Linked DNA regions of Mus musculus: all the other regions are reported to be linked to region 1. Evidence: microRNA targets listed by miRTarBase, many of them from high-throughput screens and not tested one by one. Region 1 holds a microRNA gene; each other region holds the end of a gene's coding sequence.

Region 1 (4,563 bases):
TGTTCTTCCAGAGGAGCTGGGTGCAATTCCCAACCCTGCACTCCAATTCCAGGGGATCCAACACCCTCATACAGACATCCATGCAGGCAAAACATCAATGCAGATAAAACAAAAATAAGTGAATTTTTAAAATGCAAGGCATGAAAGATGTAGTGAGACAGCTCAATGGGTAAAGGTGCTTGCTACCCAACTTGTGACATAAGTACAGTCCCTGGAAAGCTGGGACTTGTACACGTTGTCCCTTGACTTCCCCAAGTATACAAATACACACAACACTAAATGATACCAAAAAAAAAAAAAAAAGAGGGGATGTCTATTTTGTCAGACAGCAAGTTCTGTAGAGGTTTAGGGCTTGTCAGACTTTTTAAGATGACAGATAGCAAAGTCACACTATTTCTTCATATGAACTGATAGACTGACTTGGGAGTAAGATTAGCTGCATTGTCAGCATAAGTTAGACAATCTGTATGCATTTGATTTTTTTAAGTTCTATTGAAACTCTAGGCTTTTGGTTTAAATTATGTTTTCTTTCCCCAGGTATAAAGACCTAATGCCACATGACTTGGCTAGAGCTGCACTTTCGTAAGTAAATCAAGTTTCCTGTTCTTTCAACTTAAAATACTTTTTATAGTTTTTGTACTTGAAGTAGCATGTTTTGTAGAATTTTCATATCTAGGCTGTTAAACTTTACATGGAAAGAAGCAATATTAACTAGCTCTTAGCAAGGTTCTTTGATACAGGGTCTCACCATATAATTCTGATTGACCTGAAACTGACTTATAGACCTGGCTAGCCTTGAACTCAGGGATTCATCTACCTCTGCCTCCCAGTTGTCAAGATTAAAGGTGTATGTCATGATACGATTAAATTTTATTTTAACCATATATGTTAAATTTTAACAGCTTCTGAGTGGCCCCAAGCTTTTTATTTGTTTGTCTGTTTACTGAGTCCAGACCTTGATATATATCTCTGGCTGGCCTGGATTGATTTGTAAGCCAGGGTGCCCTTGGACTTCAGAGAGCTGCCTTCTTCTGCCTCTCCAGTTCTGGTATTAAAGTCATGCATTACCATGTCTGACTTCCTAAATTATCCCACCACGACCCCCAACCCCAGGCAGAGCTGAGGACTGACCAGGGTTTTGCTTCCAATGCAAGTGTTCTATCACTGAGCTAACTCCACCTGCCCGAGTTGGTTTTGATTATTTTTTTCTAATGTCTCATTACCAAGTGGCCATCGAATATTGGCTCTTCATATTACTCTTCACTCATTTTCCTGTTGATAAGCTGTTAAATGTCTGTGTCTGGCCTTTGAAAAGGAAAGACTTGTCTTTGTGTTTTTGTGGAGATTAGGATTGAACCGAGGGCCTTGCATGTACTAAATGAGCACTGTCCTCTGGCCTGTACCTCCAGTGCATGGCTTCCCTGTTTAAAACGTGTAGTGTTTTATGTGATGTTCTCTGGCATACCTTCATGTATGAAGTGTTTCTTTTCTTTGGATTTCTGCTTTTAGGGGTTTGTTGCATCGGACCAATATTCCAAAGGATGTTGTTGATTATATCATCTTTGGTACAGTTATTCAGGAAGTGAAAACAAGCAATGTGGCTAGAGAGGTGAGTAAAGCAAAATTTATATTGTTTACAGAGATTGATAAAGCTGGATATAGTGGCTGATGCTTGTAATATACTCTTGGGAGGATGAGGCAGGAGGATTACCATGGAGTCCAAGGCCTATCTGGGAATTAGTAAATTCCATATTATCTGGGCTATAGTGGGACTTTGTCTCCAAAACAGTGGCAACAGAGCTGGGCTTGGTGATCCACCTTTAATACTCAGAAGGGAGAGGCAAGCAGATCAGTAAGTTTCAGGTCATCCAGGGCTACATAGTGAGACCCTGTCTCCCCCACCATCACACCCTTCCCCAAAATTAGAAAAAGTCTATTTGAATTTGAGTTAATATTTAATAATTTATTTCTTTTGTATGTGCATGTGTTGCTAGAGATCTGACCCAAGGCCTTGCATATGTCAGGCAAGGCAAGTGTTCTACCACTAAGATACATGCCCAGCCTAGAATTTACCATTTTAAAGTCATTAAACTCTTAAGATCCATTAGCTAAGCATGTATTTCACTTAAAATCAGATGATGTATATTATTACTATGTATGCACATTTTGCTGTAGGTCAGATAAATTGTTTGAGTGCTTTAAGAAATGTTAGTTTGTCTCTTGTGTTAGAGAAACAGTATAGCAATATGGCTGATGCTGCTCTTTGTAATGTTAGCCTTCATGGTTTCTAATTAAGCTTGAACAGTGTAGCCAAGTTCATAACTTGGTTTTTGTAGCAGGCGGAAGCCTTACCTATGACTTGCTACCTCTGACTAGATGACACTAGGCAGAGGTTTGTTTTTTTTAATGTAGCTACTTCCTCGGAGTTTACCTTTAACCTAGTTGGCACACATCTAGTGTTTATTGGGCAATGGAGATAATGACAGCCTTGAAACTAATATGAGTATCACACAGGCATTTGACAGTGACTAGTTCAAACCCGTCTTCTGGGCTTTGTTTCAATTATTTGGATAAAGTAGGCTTTCACATATTTATCTTATTTCTTGTCTGTGCTTCTGTGTTCATTATAGTTATGAGGATAATTACTTCCATTGTTAGCCAAGATAGAAGGGCAAATGTGCAGATCAAAGCCATTAGTTCTCTCACACAGTGAATGTTAAAGCAGCTGCAATTCCAGCACTGCCCAAGGTCACAGAGTGAGCAGCCAGTGCTGTTAGAAGAGGGCTGAGAGCAGGGAGAGCTCTCTTCTGCAGCACTGACTTTTCCTCTGCATTGGCACATTTTGAACACACCTAATAAAGAGCTCTGGTGGGTTAGTGAAAAAGGGACAGAAGGTTTGCGGGAGAAAATAGACAGGTAAATCTCAGAAGAGCTACTTATCTTGTTCAACATCGAATGGTTGGATAAATTATGGTTCAACAAAATGATGGAAGATTATTAGTTCATTAAAAACCATATTAGGAAATTTATTTTAAAAAATCATGGCTACATAAAGCCATCGAGTTGATTACAGTGCTTGGAACTTCTGGATCATGGATATGAAGTGACTTTCATAAGACTGAAAAAGTAAATTTCAATTTTCTCTACGTTCTTCTTTTCTCAAACCAAAACCATGGTGTTTTTCTCTGAGTTTTTTTCTGAAAGTTTTACATCTATATGCACATTCCAGCTGTTGATTGGCATGAGGAAGTTTCTTCCCTGGACCTAATACTAATAGCAGTCATGTTGTACGCCACATAATCTCTTATTTTTAAGATGGGCAGGGTTTCACTCTTATGAAGCCCTGGCTGGCCTGGAACTTACTGTGTAGACCAGGGTGGCCCCAAGCTTACAGAGATGCACCTGCCTCCAAAGTACTGAGATTAAAGACCTAAGCCACCTAACTTCCAGGTCATTTTAGTAGCTAAGGAGAAAGGTAGAGGTGATGGGACAAGTAGGAAAATAAGTAGTAAAACGTAAAGTCCCCAGCAAAAGAATTTCACTAGAATCTATGCGCATAGCATATATATATATATTTTTTTTAAAGATTTATTTATTTTATGTAAGTACACTGTAGCTATCCTCAGACACCCCAGAAGAGGGCATCAGATCTCATTACAGATGGTTGTGAGCCACCATGTGGTTGCTGGGGTTTGAACTCAGGACCTTCAAAAGAGCAGTCAGTGCTCTTAACCTCTGAGCCATCTCTTCAGCCCCCGCTAATATATATTTTTAAAGATTATTTATTTATTATGGATACAGTATTCTGCCTGCATGTATGGGTGCATGCCAGAAAAGGGCACCAGATCCCATTATAATTGGTTGTGAACCACCATGTGCTTACTGGGAATTGAACTCAGGACCTCTGGAAGTGCAACCAGTACTCTTTCTTTTCCTCTTCTTTTTTTTAAATTAATTAATTTGTTTATTCACTTTACATCCCATTATCAGCACCCCCTACCTCAGCTCTTCCCACAGTCAGTGCTCTTAACCTCTGAGCATCTCTCCAGCCCACAAGGACCTGTCCTAATATTAATATGAAGTCCTCCTAAAGGGTTATGTGCCCCTATCAGAGCTGACTTTGCTGACAGACCTCAGTGCATTTCTCCTTCAGCTCAGTTTCCTCTTTTCTCCTTGGTGCCTTGAAAGGGATTCAGTCTTTAAATAGAAGAATGTGGACAAGGGTCACCAGCTACCAGTTCTATTTAAAGCTTTGTTAGAACTCTGTGTCAGCTGGGCCAAGGGTAACATGCTGCAGTGACCTCATGAGGATCAAGCTGTTATATGACCTGAGTGCCCTTACCCTTGTCCCACTGTGGAGTCTTTTCTTTTGCTCCCAACACCTGCTTCTGATTTCCTTTCCAACTGGTTCAGATTAAGAAGTTGACATGCAGATGCCAGGAAGTAGTTTTTAGTACAAACAGGCACTTAGTATCAGACCTCCCTACAGACAGAATAAGGTCATACTGGTGTATTCAAAAGTAACAGCTTTCTGCTCCCGCAGATGGCAAGTAGTATCAAGCA
Region 2 (4,486 bases), not on the chromosome of region 1:
GCCACACCCACATTGCTGCAGTCTCCAACTGGGTCAGCTGTCAGTTCCGGGAACTCCCTAGGGCTGGTGTTTCTCTGGTCTCTCATGGCTTTTCTTCTCACAGGTGTAAAAGGATGCTATGCTCATGTTCTAGGTAAGTGCGAGAGAGGGGCAGGGGACACCCTTGTCCCTGAGGCTCTCAGGATGGAGCTGGGATTTGTTCCAGCCCATAATCTCCTCTTGCCACATCCTCTCTGTCTCCTCTGTGTGCCTTGTTATCTCTTCTACTGCAGGCAGCAAGAGCTTCCAGACCTCTGACTGGCCTCAGAAGGCATGAAAATCCCTGGGGGGGCTGGTGAGATGGCTCAGTGGGTAAGAGCACTGACTGCTCTTCTGAAGGTCCAGAGTTCAAATCCCAGCAACCACATGGTGGCTCACAACCATCCGTAACGAGATCTGACTCCCTCTTCTGGAGTGTCTGAAGACAGCTACAATGTACTTACATATAATAAATAAATAAATAAATAAATAAATAAATAAATAAATAAATGAATGAATGAATGAATGAAAATCCCTGGGGGCCTGGGACTGGACCTGAGGCACAAGGGAGACCGGGGTTCAATTCCTAGCACTGACATGGCAGGTGTCTGTTACTAGTAACAAACAGTTCATGTCTCATGAATGTAGGCATGAATGCAGCTAAAGCACCTACATACATAAAATTAAACCTTTAAAAAATAAAAGGTGTGTGGACAAACAATATTGTCTTTGTAAATGTTCTGAGGATGGCAGGGAGTTACAGCGCCATAGCAGTTTCTATTGTTTGGTGTTCACCATCTGTCTGGTTGTTTTTCTCCTTGATGTGATAAGACAACCATGACCAAGGCAACTTTTAGAAGAGTTTATTGGGGGCTTAGAGTCTGTGACCCTATGGAAGGGAACGCGACAGCAGTCAATCAGGCATGGCGCTGGAGCAGTAGCTGACCAGGAGCATGAGACAGAGAATGCTGAATAAAAATGGCTCAGCAGGCTTTGGAAACCTTAAAGCCCACCCCTGGTGATTCGCCTCTTCCAGCATGGCTGCTTCTCCTAATGTCCCCAAAGAGTTCCACCAACTGTGACTGTAAGACCCCCTTTCGGGGACCCCCACTCTAGTCTCAAGAGTGAGAGAGCACCCAAAGAAACACGAGAATCCATCTTGCTGTAGTCACATGAGGCAGTTTAATGATGGAGCTCTGGACCTACATGCATCCCACACAGGAGATAACGGATGTTGGCCTCAAAAGTTAGGGGTTTATATAGGAAAGGAGTGGGGTAGGGGAAGAATTGGCACAGTTACACACAAATGTGCAATTTAAACATCAGAGAGTAACTCTAAAGGGAGGGTGTCTATCTTGGTTGGCAGGACATCTGGCTAAAACCCAAAACATATCAGCAAGTGGTCCCTTACTCATCTTGAGCTTGTCCAGAGATTGTCCTTGTGTGCCTCTCTTATCTCAAAGGCTAGTTGGTTCCTGGGATGGCTTTACAGCCTTTGTTCTTTGCTCTAAGCCCAAAAAGCCCCCTAACTAGCAAGTCACATGAGACATGGACCTTGAATAAACTTTCTGGCTAGGGCTTTAAAGTCTTGAATTTAGTTTCCTTTCTTTCATTACCAAGTACTCAAACATCACATTTGTAAGGAGTAGCAGTGCAACCTGGGGCTTCCAGTCACACATCCCGTATAGTATGGCAACACAAGAGATCTGCTGTCACTTCACCTCCCACCATCAACAGGAACCGATGCTCAGCCCTAAGGCCTCCGCACTCATCAAGGTTTCTGTCATTTCTCTCTTTGTGCCCCCAGCCTGAGTGAATCCAGCTAACTGAGAGCCTGTGTCCTTGGTTAGCATGACCAGGCAGGTCCACATTGATTCCCTGGTCCACGTGAGCTGTGCCCACCAGTGCATCATCACTGTAACCAAAGGCATGTGCAATTTTTAAAAAATACTTATTTATTTATTTAATGTATATGAATATACTGTAGCTGTCTTCAGACACACCAGAAGAGGGCATCAGATCCCATTACAGATGGTTATGAGTCACCATGTGGTTGCTGGGAATTGAACTCAGGACCTCTGGAAGAGCAGTCAGTGAGTGCTCTTAACTGCTGAGCCACCTCTCCAGCCCCTGGTGAGACAGACTTTCACTATATAGCTTTGGCTGGCTAGGAGCTCACTGTGTAGACCAGGCTGGCCTCAAACTCAGAGAGATTTGCCTGCCTCAGCCTCCTGAGTGCTGGGATTAAATGAGTGAGCCACCGTGCCTGGTGCCATTCTTTTGGCCCTTTTGGATCAGCATCTCCCAGGTACTGTAAAAACAGTCCAGTCTGGACCATGGGATTGTGCATAAGGTGTTGCCTCCCTCATTCCCAATTCCCAGCAAAGACTTGCCTTCTTCTGTAGTTTCCCATGGGACAGGAAAGTATCATGGATATGGAATATAAACGAATCCATTAAAGCAAGGCTTCTAAAACTCTCTACTTACGACTTCTTTTCTGCCAAGATATTTTTACATGGCCTTAGGCTTTGGGGAGTATAAAACAGTTATACAAATCAAACACTGATAATAAAACAATTTATTTTAAAACAGATTATTTGTCCTGTGGTGGTGGCGCACCCCGTCAATCTGAACACTTGTGGGTCAGAGGCAAATGGATCTGAGTTCAAGGACAGCCTAGTCTATTGTGTGAGTTTCAGAACAGCCAGGGCAACACAGAGAAACTGTCTTGATAAACCAAACAAACAAACAAACAAAAAGTATTATTTGATATACATATGTAACTTTTACAAGTTATTAAAAATTAAAGCAAATTTCTATACACCATGCTTATTTTAAAGAGATTTAAACTTAGTCAGGTAGGTATGCTGTTGCATGCCTGTAATCCTAGCAGTTGAGAAGTCGAGACACAAGGATCAGGAGTTCAAAGGCATCCTTATTTACAAAGTGATTTCAAGGTCAGCCGGGCTACCGGAGAAACTCTCTAAAAGCAGACAGGGGAAGAGTCGGGGGATGGTTAAATATTGGCTAAGTATAAGATCCCGAAGAACACAGAGCATCTTCGATGTTTTTCATAGCTATTGATAATTTGATTTTATAGTCATCAGTACTGAGAATGCCTCTTTATATAATCACATGGGACAAAATGATAGAAGTATATTTAAGGCCATTCAAAACACAGGCCCTAATCCCAAGCCCAAATTCACTTAACAATTTTTTTGTGTTTATTTTTTTGTTTGTTGTTTTTGTTTTGGTGTCTATTTTTTGAAACAGGGTCTCTCCTGTACCCCAGGTTGGCCTCCTATTTGCTCGGGAGTTGAGGATGTGCCATAATGCATGATTTATGCAGTGCTGACCACAAAATTCAGGGCTTCGTGTGTTCTAATCAACTAAATCCCCGGCTGGAGCAGTCGTTTGGTTTTGTCAAGATTTAATTCAGCAACTCAAATACCAAGTTTTTATTTTTATTTTATGGGAGTGCCTGCATGTATATCTGTGTACCGTGTGTGTGTGTGTGTGTGTGTGTGTGTGTGTGTATGTATATATATGTGTGTGTGTGTGTGTGTTGCCTTTGGAGACCAAAAGAAGCATCAGATCCCAGGGCCTGGAGTTACAGACAGCTGTTCCTTGCTGTGTAGGTAGGTGTGTAGGGTAGGGTGGTGATCAGAACCAAGACTGAGGCAGAGTTAGTTATGTGACGAGGCCAGAGTGTGCACTGCCAGGAACAGCTTAAAGGCACTGCACCTTTTGATTCCTAATTACTTTTTGATTACTGTGCACTCTGAGACCTTGCTATTGTTCATGGCCCACCACCTTAGCTATGCACATTCAAGACCCACTCTCTAGAAGGTCTTGAAAGATGGATTTCCCTCATGATGCTGCAAATCACCCCAGCAATGTGTTCTAGTTTCTGTTCTATTGCTGAGATAAAACACTTTATCCAAAAGACAAGGTAGGGACGGGAAAGTCTATTTGGCTTACAATTCCAGGGTACGGTCAGTCCATCACAGAGGGAAACCACGGTGGCGGGAGCCTGAGACAGCTGCTCACGTCATGTCCACAGTCATGAGAGATGAATGTGTCCATGTTGCCTGCTTGCTATTCCACACATATGACAAAGGAACTCGCTTCACACCCAGAGAAGTTTGGCAGGGACCATGAAAGATGTTGCTTACTGACTGGCAAGTGTGGCTAATGCTCAGCTAGCTTTCTAATACAGCCTGGGACCTCCTGCCTAGGGGGATGGTGCTGCCTAAGAAAGCATCATCAATCAAGAAGACTCCCTGGAGACATGCCCGCTGGTCAGTCTGATGTAGATAACGCCTCAGTTGAGATTCTGTTCCCCTGAAATTCTGGGTTGTGTCAAATTGGCATTTAAAGTTCACCAGAACACAGTGGAGGGATGCGCGGGGTATTCTAACCTCCTCCTCAGCACTTACTCACTCTCACATCCTGCAGACACACCACT
Region 3 (4,559 bases), not on the chromosome of region 1:
ATGAACATAAGCACACAGGCTCAACCGCTGAAAGGAGATGGGGAAAGCCTTCCAGTCAGCACAGTTTGCCTCCGTTCCCCAGAAATCTGGGCTGCTACTTGTCGCTTGTGCACTCCTTGATAGCTAATGTGTTGGCCCAGGGGCTGAGCACAAGAGTAATTATTGTTTGAGTAAGGGAAACAGTGAATACAAGACATGGTACAGACGGGGCTGGCCACATTCCTGCAGAGCAGATCGAACTCTTGGATTGTACAAATAACCCCTTCCCAGCACAAAATACAGAACAGTGTTGTCTCTTAGAGGTCAGAAAGAACTATAAAACATTTCTTATAAAAGTAGTTTTTAATAAATTGATGTATTTCAATGTTGTAACATGATAGTCCAATTCTATATCAAGGTAGCAAAAGTGAAGGTTCCTGGTGTTTTATAAACACTGTGAATGACAGTACACTTGCATTCAACTTCACAGAAATTCTCTTCAGATCCATGAAGATTTGTTGACAGCTGTCCCACTTGTTGACAGTGGAGATGTGTGTGAATAGACTGAGCAGACAATGAAAGTCTAACAATCAAGCTACACTCTCAAACCATACCGGCAAGAATAAGATGTAATGAGAGGATGGCTAACTGCTGAAAAACTAACTTTTAACATTAGTCATTTAAAAAGAAAACATAGCATACACCAAAGCTATAGTAAATATATAATGGAGCCATAAGACAACACATGGGTTAGAGCTGTGAAGCAGTGAACATGGTTCTACCCGACTTATGATGGAAGAAGCCATGGAAACAGAGTCCTGCAGCTGTCTGCAGTGCTTAATCTACACACACACACACACACACACACACACACACACACACACACACACACACACACGGCTATCAATGGACTAACCCTGGAATTCCCTGCTCTGTAAGATGCTGGTGATGGTAGGTATGCTATTGCTGTGAAGCAGAGCAATAGTTGGCCGGAGTTCAGGCCTGGAGGTGCTCTAGGACAGTCACCACTTTCTACAGCCTCACAAGTCACACTTCTAAAGCCAATGCCACCAATGAGGATTTAAAAAGCCCAAGCATATTTAAAACAAGCACCAGAAACCAACTATCTGATCTATTACTGCTATTATTGTTCAAACACCTACCAGAAGAAACAGTTTCACTTGGTTACAACTACAAAATATGTAAACTCATGTAAATTCATGACTGGAGTTCTGACTTGTGGTTTTTCTTATGAGTTCATGTGGAGAACTCATTGTTACCTTCTGAGGGCAAGAAAAGCAAAGTTAATTAATCCATTGCTAATCTACACTGTGGAGAAGGTTGGTCTCACTAAAGAGATTTTCTTCCTTCCAACCTCAGGGACACCAAAGTGCAAGGAATCTTGTGTCCTGACTCTCAGGTGACCTGCACATGAGCTGTTTATTTCCTAGAAGACTTTTACATTTCTTCAAACGTCAAATGTCCCAGTCAGGCATGAGAACAGCAAGTCACTTGTGTGCTGAGCTGCTGAAATGAGGGTAAGCACAGAGATGTACCTGGCTATTTACCCAGAAGTGTCTAACTGAGGGGCCACTCCCTTGGGTCAAAACATTTATATCTCAATGGATTAGAAAACACCATGATCCACACTATTAATAAAACAACAACAACAACAAAAACCCAAGTCAACTGTACCAAGCATCTCTTTCTTACCAAGCTGGGCTGAGGGCTTGGGCTCTCGTGGTGACACCTCTTGGGGAGCATTAGTGTTTTGTCCTAAGTCTCATTTTCAGACCTGAACTAAGTTGACTCTTCATAAAGACCACATATTCTGTCTTGCTGCACCGTTCCTGAAACAAATGCTCTGCCCCACCCGGCACGGGTAGAGTAACTTGCAGCAGCTTTCTTCTCTGGAAACAGAACAGTCAAACAGTACAAAGTGACTTCGTTTTCCTCAGGCCAGTGTTAAATAACTCAAGGTTTACTTTCCCTATAAAGAGGGTGTGCTTACGTTAAAAAGTATCAATCAAAATCAGCTCATGGAAAAATTAAAGATGAAATTTACTCAAAGACATGTATCTTCACACAGAGAATGTGACTCTCACACTAATCACGTATCTAAAGCTGCAGTCAGTACCTTGGATGTTCCTATGTTGTATCCACTACTTACACAGGACACTCACTCTTAAGGCAGAACATTGATTGTGACATGTAATGATTGGTTCTACATCCAAGGGTCAACTGGGGTTGGACTCTAACAGATGACTTCCTCACTAAGACTTCTCTGTAGCACAACCTCATTCCCAAGAGTATGTTATGTAAGAGAGATACATTTGAGAACATAAAAAAATGAATTTAAGACACACAAAAGTATAATTTTCAACAAGATATCAATGAAAATAGAATCTCTATTATGAGGTGCGGCTACTCCCATCATGAACTAAGAAACTCCAATAAGCCATTTCTGATACGGTGTACACAAACTATTAAAGAATTACCTTTGGGGTGTGTTTTAGATTCTAGGTTTCAATATCCAGTACAAAAGGTAGCCTGGCTAGTTTAAAAAGCAGTTCAGTGTCAGCTTGTACTGCTGCTCAGGAAGCTAGGTTAGGATACTCCCACCCCACCAAAATATCCTGTACAGGGAGGAGTTAGAATGTATTAAAATAAAATGAAGCCCCTCTCCTAACACATGTGCAAAAACACTCATCAGTTATAAGAGTATCTTCATTAAAGAATCAGAGGCATCAAGCCAGGCAGATACAAGAGTACCACCCTGCTGAGGTGGGCATATCTGGGGTGAGACCAGCTGCTCCACGGGCACCTTGGGAAATGTGCTACTCAGAATGGGAAGAAGGGTGTGGAGAGGAACTGACCAGGACCCAAGCCCTCTGGCTGTGTGTGTGCTCCTTCATGTCAGGCCAGTTTGGATTCCGGTATCTGGGTGCCAACATTGGTAACAAAACAAATACAGATCTCCGGGACAGCTTGTAAGCAGCGATGAGGACTGCGGCTGTGGAAGCCTTTCCTTGTGCCTACTACCTATGCTGTAGCTCTGGCAACTGTCAGGAAGTGTACAAAGATCATCTGCCTAATATTTGAAGATGAGGATATTCTTCTTTCATGGTGGCAGAAGTCCATGCAAGATTTGTAAACAGTGGTACAAAATACTGTAAACGTAATTTAACAGAGCTCGTATAAAACAGAGGAAGTGAATCCAAATTTACAAGTGGGTTAAAAAGAAAAGAAAAGAGGGCAGCTTCATACAAAGTTCTCCCTCCTGCGCCAAGCTATTTTTCTTCTTTTTTGTTTTTTTGTTTTTGATTACAAATATAATCCTGAGCTGAAAAACTGGGATTTGGGGGAGAGCCATCTTTGCATACAAAATATCCAAAGGACATTTAACTCTATTTTCTTTTTCTCTAGTGATACTCAACTGCCAGAGACAGTTCTGAAGGCCTGACTTCAGAGGTCTTATAGTTTAGTGTGACGCCCAGTTCTGGCACCAGCTGCAGCACTTGCCATGGCACTGGATGCGGCTGCATCCTCTGCTTCTTCTAGTTCATCCTGGAGTTCTTGGCTGACACTAGACTGAAGTGCAGCAGGAGTGAGCCACTCCTTTGGCAGGCAACTCTGTAGAAAGGGTATACAGGAGCTGAAGTAGGCCAGCCGGTTGATCCAGCGAGGAATCTCTTTCCCACAGAGAATCTAAGGAGGACAGAGCTCTGTATTAGGAAAAAGAGATCAATGCTGATGGTACTATTAAAGGGAGGGGGAGATGGAGGGGGAGGAGGAGGGGGTGGCTGTAGAGAAAATATACTGCAGACCAGCTTGCCCTGAGAAGCAGACTACTCCAGTCTGCTGAGAAGCAGTGCCTTAACTCAGGAGCCGGACACTACCAAGCCCCAATCCTTTCTTTCAGCCATGTACTTTTTACATTTGTGAAGTCAAGCCAATTCCCCTTGGTTTCTGTCTGTCTTGGATCATTGAGCTACTTTGAAACATGTAAAATTACTTTTAAACAAACAGAAGGAAAGAGGCTTGCTAGTACAGGTGTTATTAGAGTAGAGAAGCCTCATGCTGTTAGAAGAGTCAGTCTTTGGTATCTTCTTGTTAATTCTTTTCCCAGGTTCTTTCATACTTTCTTCCATTTCTACCACCCCACTTTCCCTTCAGCTGCATTCTGTCTTTGCTTTCAACCATGACCCATTTGTTTCAAGGAAGCTCATATGGTTCAGAAAGAAGAGTCGACAAATGAAGACAAGCTCCATAATATCCTGACAGAAGAGGGACTATGGTCAGGACAAGGCATGGAGGCCTAGCTAGCCTTTGGCCTGAGGACTCTAGGGGGTACAAGTGGGTGCCAGCTGGAATTCTTCTTGGCTGATAATCTGCTGCATTTCTCTGCCCACTTCTTATTCTTACAGGTCCTTAGGACTGGGGAGTCTTGTCCCTCTTATTTCAGAGAGTGAGAGGCAGTTCAATTACAATGTTGACTTTACCCTCTTATCATCTACACACACACACACACACACACACACACACACACACACACACACACAAATGGGCTCAACTGAATC
Region 4 (4,522 bases), not on the chromosome of region 1:
TTAGGCTGCTGTGAAACAGAAAGATGATGCCATCTGCCCCCCTTCCCCCCCAGTCTACAGAGGACTTTCCAGTCATCTTTCTAGGGCTCTCAAGACCTTGGCAGGGCTGTAGGTGTAAAAAGCCACAGGTAGTCTTGTCTTAGTGTCAGGAGGAGAGGATCTGTCTCACTCTGCCTCTTGTCCCTCCCCAGCGCTCCTTCTGCAGCACAGTGGCCGACGAGATCCGCTTCTCCCTCACCTGCCAACGGCGTCTCAAGCACAAGCCCCAGCCTCCTATGATGGTCAAGACGGATGCGGTTATCAACATGCACACCTTTAATGACCGAAGGCTGCCAGGCAAGGACAGCATGAGCTGCAGCACCTCGCTAGCCCCTGTCTTCCCCTAGACATGGGTCCAGCGGGGACTTCAGGCCCAGTCCACGCAGAGGAAGGCAAAGGAGACCCGAAAGGACGGACATCCTCATCTCGTGCTGGCCTTGGGGATGGAGCTGCTGGCCGCATCCAGCTGTGAACCATCAGCTCTTAACCTACCGGGAAACCCACACGGACCCTCGGCCGGCTGCTCGGGCTTCATCTCCTCTTGTCTTGTCTATGGCTTTCTGAAGCTGTGAAGGCCAGCGGAAGCACATGCCTCTCAGGCTCCATCACCAACCATCTCTCTTCTCCTCCATAGCCAGGTATTTCTGGCAGGCCTCTGCCGAGGCCGCAGAACACGGAAGATGGCTCTAAAGCTCCCCTCATTCCCCTCAAGCCAGGCCTTCTAGCACGCAGCCACGAGAGCAGAGACTCCGACTCGGGACACCTTATGGGTGTTTGGATGAGGCTGCCAGTGGGAGCTCAAAGGCAGTCATCCATACCTGGACAGAAGCAACGCTTCAGCCCTTAAGGGCTATTCACCTGGGTCTGCTCATCTCAATATGGCTTCACCAACAGCAGCAGCCCCTTGGCAACATGAAAAGCTGTGTGGAAAGGAGGTGTTTGGTACGGGAGAAGGAAACACAGATGGAGACTGTGATCTCAGATGCTTCGGGTCAGTGTCCTGAGCCACAAACGTCTCGAGAGTCCCCAGGAATGCGAACGAGGTCGTCATCACAGCAGATTGTTCTCCAAGGCTGCACAGAACAGAGAAGGTGCCCTCCCTCACAAGGAACGTCCAAAGACTCAGTTGACATTGGTAGGCCAGCAGAAGAAATATGGACTCTATAAAAATCCCACAGGCCCTTCAACCAATAGACCAACTTTGCTGGCAAACAAGCCAGCAGTCGGGACCCTGGGTTCTCTACCATCTACTCATTGGCGATTTCCTGTCCCCGGCCATTTGAATTTGGCCTCCCTCTGTCATCCTGAGAAGAGAAGAGCGGTCTCAGCTGAAGCGCAAGCCAAGTCAACAGCTCCTCAGAAGAGGAATTGCTGTCCCCCCTCCACAGACTAACTTTGGGGTAGGTGGGAGAAGCCAGAGGGGACCTGAAGAACTTTCTGGGTACGCCCAACCTAATGAGCCCCCTAAAGAAAGAAAGCTTTCAGGGACAGGATATAAGACCTCCAGAGGCCCCCAGGGTAGGAAGGGAGTAGCTGCCTCCTGGAAGATTAACCAAAGACCCAACACAGAGACACAAGGCCATTCTGGCCCCTGATCTCTTTTCTGGAGCAGCTATGGTCTTAGGGGATTGAAGGGAGACCCCAGAGGAGAAGCCAGAGAAGGTGACAGCCAAAGGGATGAGCAGATGGCCTGTGGTTCCATCTCTGGAGGTTTGAAACCGTCATGGTCATTGGAAAGGATCAGATGTGAGGGGTTAGGCAAAAAGTGTCCTTACAGAGAGCATGACAGGGCCATAGGGGCCTCCACAGCTGGATGGATGTTGGTCTCTGATCAGGGACCAGGGTGAGCAATATGGGTTGAGAACTGAGAACTGGGGGACACCAGTCACCCACAATCCCTCACTTTTCTGGTGCTGCTGGAGGGGGCAGGCTTGGATGAGCTACATCTAGAGCTTAAGTCTTCTCAGCAGAGGTGAAGGAACCCCTTCAGCCAACGGGGTGGCCCCCATGATGGGCACATGTGATCACTCCCACCATGCCGGTTCTTGGGAGCTCTGGCTGGCTGGCTGCACTGGGGGAGGGAGGAAAGGGGAGACTCGCAGCCAAGCCCAGTGCACATGATGATAGGAGAAGCCACGCTGGCCCGGGAGAGGAGAGCACACATGTCTGCGTGTTTGACTTTCTGTGTGTGAGTTCCAGCCGCTGGTGATGAAGGACAGATATAACACAGCCCTAGCAGGCAGGAATAGGGGCCTCCTTTAGGACGAGTGTGTGTGTGTGTGTGTGTGTGTGTGTGTGTGTGTGTGTGTGAGAGAGAGAGAGAGAGAGAGAGAGAGAAACGGGTAGCAAAGAGCTCAATCAGGACCGGTAACAGAGTCTCATCTATGTAAAAACAGGAGAAGCCATGTGGAGATGGGGCTCTGGTGAGTGTATAATGGATGCAAGCGTGAATAAATGTGTGTGTGTGTGTGTGTGTGTGTGTGTGTGTGTGTGTGTGTGTGTGTGTGCACTGAATGGCAGAGGGTAGGGACCAGGACACAGCCTGAAGTATAGCCAAATACTTGTAAAAGGAGAAGCCATGTCATCAGAGATCCTTGTGTGAGTGCGTGTACATCCACACTCGTGTGCATCCACATTTGTGTGCAGGCTTGTGTGCCCTGAAGACAGCACGGGAGGGCAGACCAGACTGCTGTGCCCATTGGGTGGGTGTGTGCTATACAGGAGGAGTCGTAAAAATGGAATGAGTGAGTGTGTGTGTGTGTGTGTGTGTGTATGTGTGTGTGTGTGTACTCATACCCATGTATGTGCAGACATGTACCTAAGTTCCAATTCAAATCCTGCGTTGAGGCAGCAGAGCAGTTAGTACGGCAGGGTACCAGGATGTGTCAGCATGCCTGCTATGGGAGGGATCACTGGCCACAGCTTTCCTGAGGGCTCCATGGGAAAATGCACAGGGAGACACCTTCTGGGGCTCACCTTCTGGGGTGATGCCTTCTCCTTTGCTGTTCATAGAGTGTCCTGTTGAGAGGGGAAAAATTCTTCCTTCCTTCCTTCCTTCCTTCCTTCCTTCCTTCCTTCCTTCCTTCCTGCCTGCCTTCCTTCCTTCCTGCCTTCCTTCCTTCCTTCCTTAAATCACCCCTACTGACAGGATCCTCATGAAACCATTGTCAACTCCGTTCTCATCCGCTGTAGTCTTTAACCACTGTCTTCTGTTGTCCAATACCATTTTATAACACACACCCACCTCCATGTTCATATCACACATGTGCTTTTGTGCATGACACTGCAGACGTGTCATGTTCTTTCGAGGCTATGCACATATGTAGACTGTGATGGGAGAAGGGACGGGGTGTGGTTGGTGGGAAGGGTGTTCAGAGAGGTAATGACCACTGGGTGACGGCAGTGGGGGTGGGGGTTGGTTATAGACTCATTCCGGGAAGAGGGGTGGCGTGCTGCAGGATCTCCCCTCCCACCTGAGCCTTATATCCAGAGGTATGGCTAACGCTTGCCCTCTGGCTGAAGTCCTGTGTTTGTTCTAGAGACCAGCCCAGTCCCAAACAGCCTGGAGACCACCCTGCCCAGCTAAGCTGTGTCTCTGCCAGGGTAGGGAAGGGAGTCAAGAGGGAGGCAGATCATTCAAGTGAAAACCTGTCCCAACCCCCTAAGGGGTGCACAGAGCTGAGGCTGGAACACACAAATGCTCTGAGGAGCAATGGGAAACACAAAGATTGGTTTGGATGGAGCAGATGGGACATACCTGAGCAGGACCATGGCTGGCTGGCTCTGTCTGATCATATAGGCCAGCCCCGAATAGAAGAATGCCTCACACAACTATGTCTGGGCTTGAGCTCCACCTATTTATACCAGCCCTGTGGTGGGGCAGCACCCATTCTGTCCGGGCCCTGGGGGCTATTGGACAAAGACTGCCTCTACCTTGGCCTGTGCCTGCTTTCTCTTATGGACAGTCACTGATGAAATTTGAGCACTTTGTGGGGGCTCAGGTGGCTCCTGGGCAGTTGTGTTGGCCAGTGAGTTGGACTTAGAATCCTTGAGGTAAGAGACTGCCCCTCGGTCAGCCTGGACTGTCACAGCTGGAAGAGCACATGCTGAGCCCTGCCTTTGTAGCATGCAATGCGGGGAGGGGTGTGCAGATTAAATATCTCCACGAGGGAGCGGAAGTCAGACCAGGCTCACGTTCACCAAGAACCGTCTGTCCCTTCCTACCTTCCTTTCTGGTCCAGGGAGGGCTGAAGGTGGGGTGCAGCTGCTGCTGCTTCATGCCGCATGAGGCCATGCTACACACACACACACACACACACACACACACACACACACACACACGCCCCAAAGCCATTCCCTACTGTAGGCACCAGCATCTGAACATGACAAACTCCATGGTCCACCTCTGGAATTGCCCTGCGTGGATGCCCACCTGGAAGGGCCTTCATGCCATGGACAAACAACCGTATGGAGTTAACATCTG

The links. Region 1 holds the annotated microRNA mmu-miR-1960 (CCAGUGCUGUUAGAAGAGGGCU, at 2,765-2,786, shown strand). A microRNA usually pairs through its seed, bases 2 to 8, with sites in the 3' UTR of a target mRNA and lowers its output. Matches are read on the target gene's strand: a 7mer-m8 pairs with bases 2 to 8, a 7mer-A1 pairs with bases 2 to 7 and ends in A, and an 8mer does both.
Region 2: miRTarBase lists H2-T23 as a target of mmu-miR-1960. Seed matches in the 3' UTR shown: 8mer at 357-364.
Region 3: the mRNA of Desi2 is a reported target of mmu-miR-1960. Seed matches in the 3' UTR shown: 7mer-m8 at 811-817.
Region 4: miRTarBase lists Grik3 as a target of mmu-miR-1960. Seed matches in the 3' UTR shown: 7mer-A1 at 2,546-2,552.

What each region holds. Positions count from the first base shown.
Region 1 is chr5:30,167,987-30,172,549 of GRCm38, forward strand. Mir1960 (microRNA 1960) reads left to right here and starts at 2,753; the gene lies at 2,753-2,830. It overlaps Hadhb (hydroxyacyl-CoA dehydrogenase trifunctional multienzyme complex subunit beta), which reads left to right. Exons shown (of 16, transcript NM_145558.2): 5 at 538-582; 6 at 1,510-1,609.
Region 2 is chr17:36,026,018-36,030,503 of GRCm38, reverse strand. H2-T23 (histocompatibility 2, T region locus 23) reads left to right here. Exons shown (of 7, transcript NM_010398.3): 6 at 104-133; 7 at 273-527. The coding sequence ends at 316. The region is part of intron 1 of A930015D03Rik (RIKEN cDNA A930015D03 gene); the gene reads right to left. Among named protein-coding and RNA genes, the nearest start is that of H2-T23, 4.4 kb to the left of the region's middle.
Region 3 is chr1:178,248,363-178,252,921 of GRCm38, reverse strand. Desi2 (desumoylating isopeptidase 2) reads right to left here. Exons shown (of 5, transcript NM_024282.3): 5 at 324-3,687. The coding sequence ends at 3,454. Among named protein-coding and RNA genes, the nearest start is that of Gm46174, 50 kb to the left of the region's middle.
Region 4 is chr4:125,707,706-125,712,227 of GRCm38, forward strand. It overlaps Grik3 (glutamate receptor, ionotropic, kainate 3), which reads left to right. Exons shown (of 16, transcript NM_001081097.3): 16 at 192-4,522. The coding sequence ends at 386. Among named protein-coding and RNA genes, the nearest start is that of Gm40249, 130 kb to the right of the region's middle.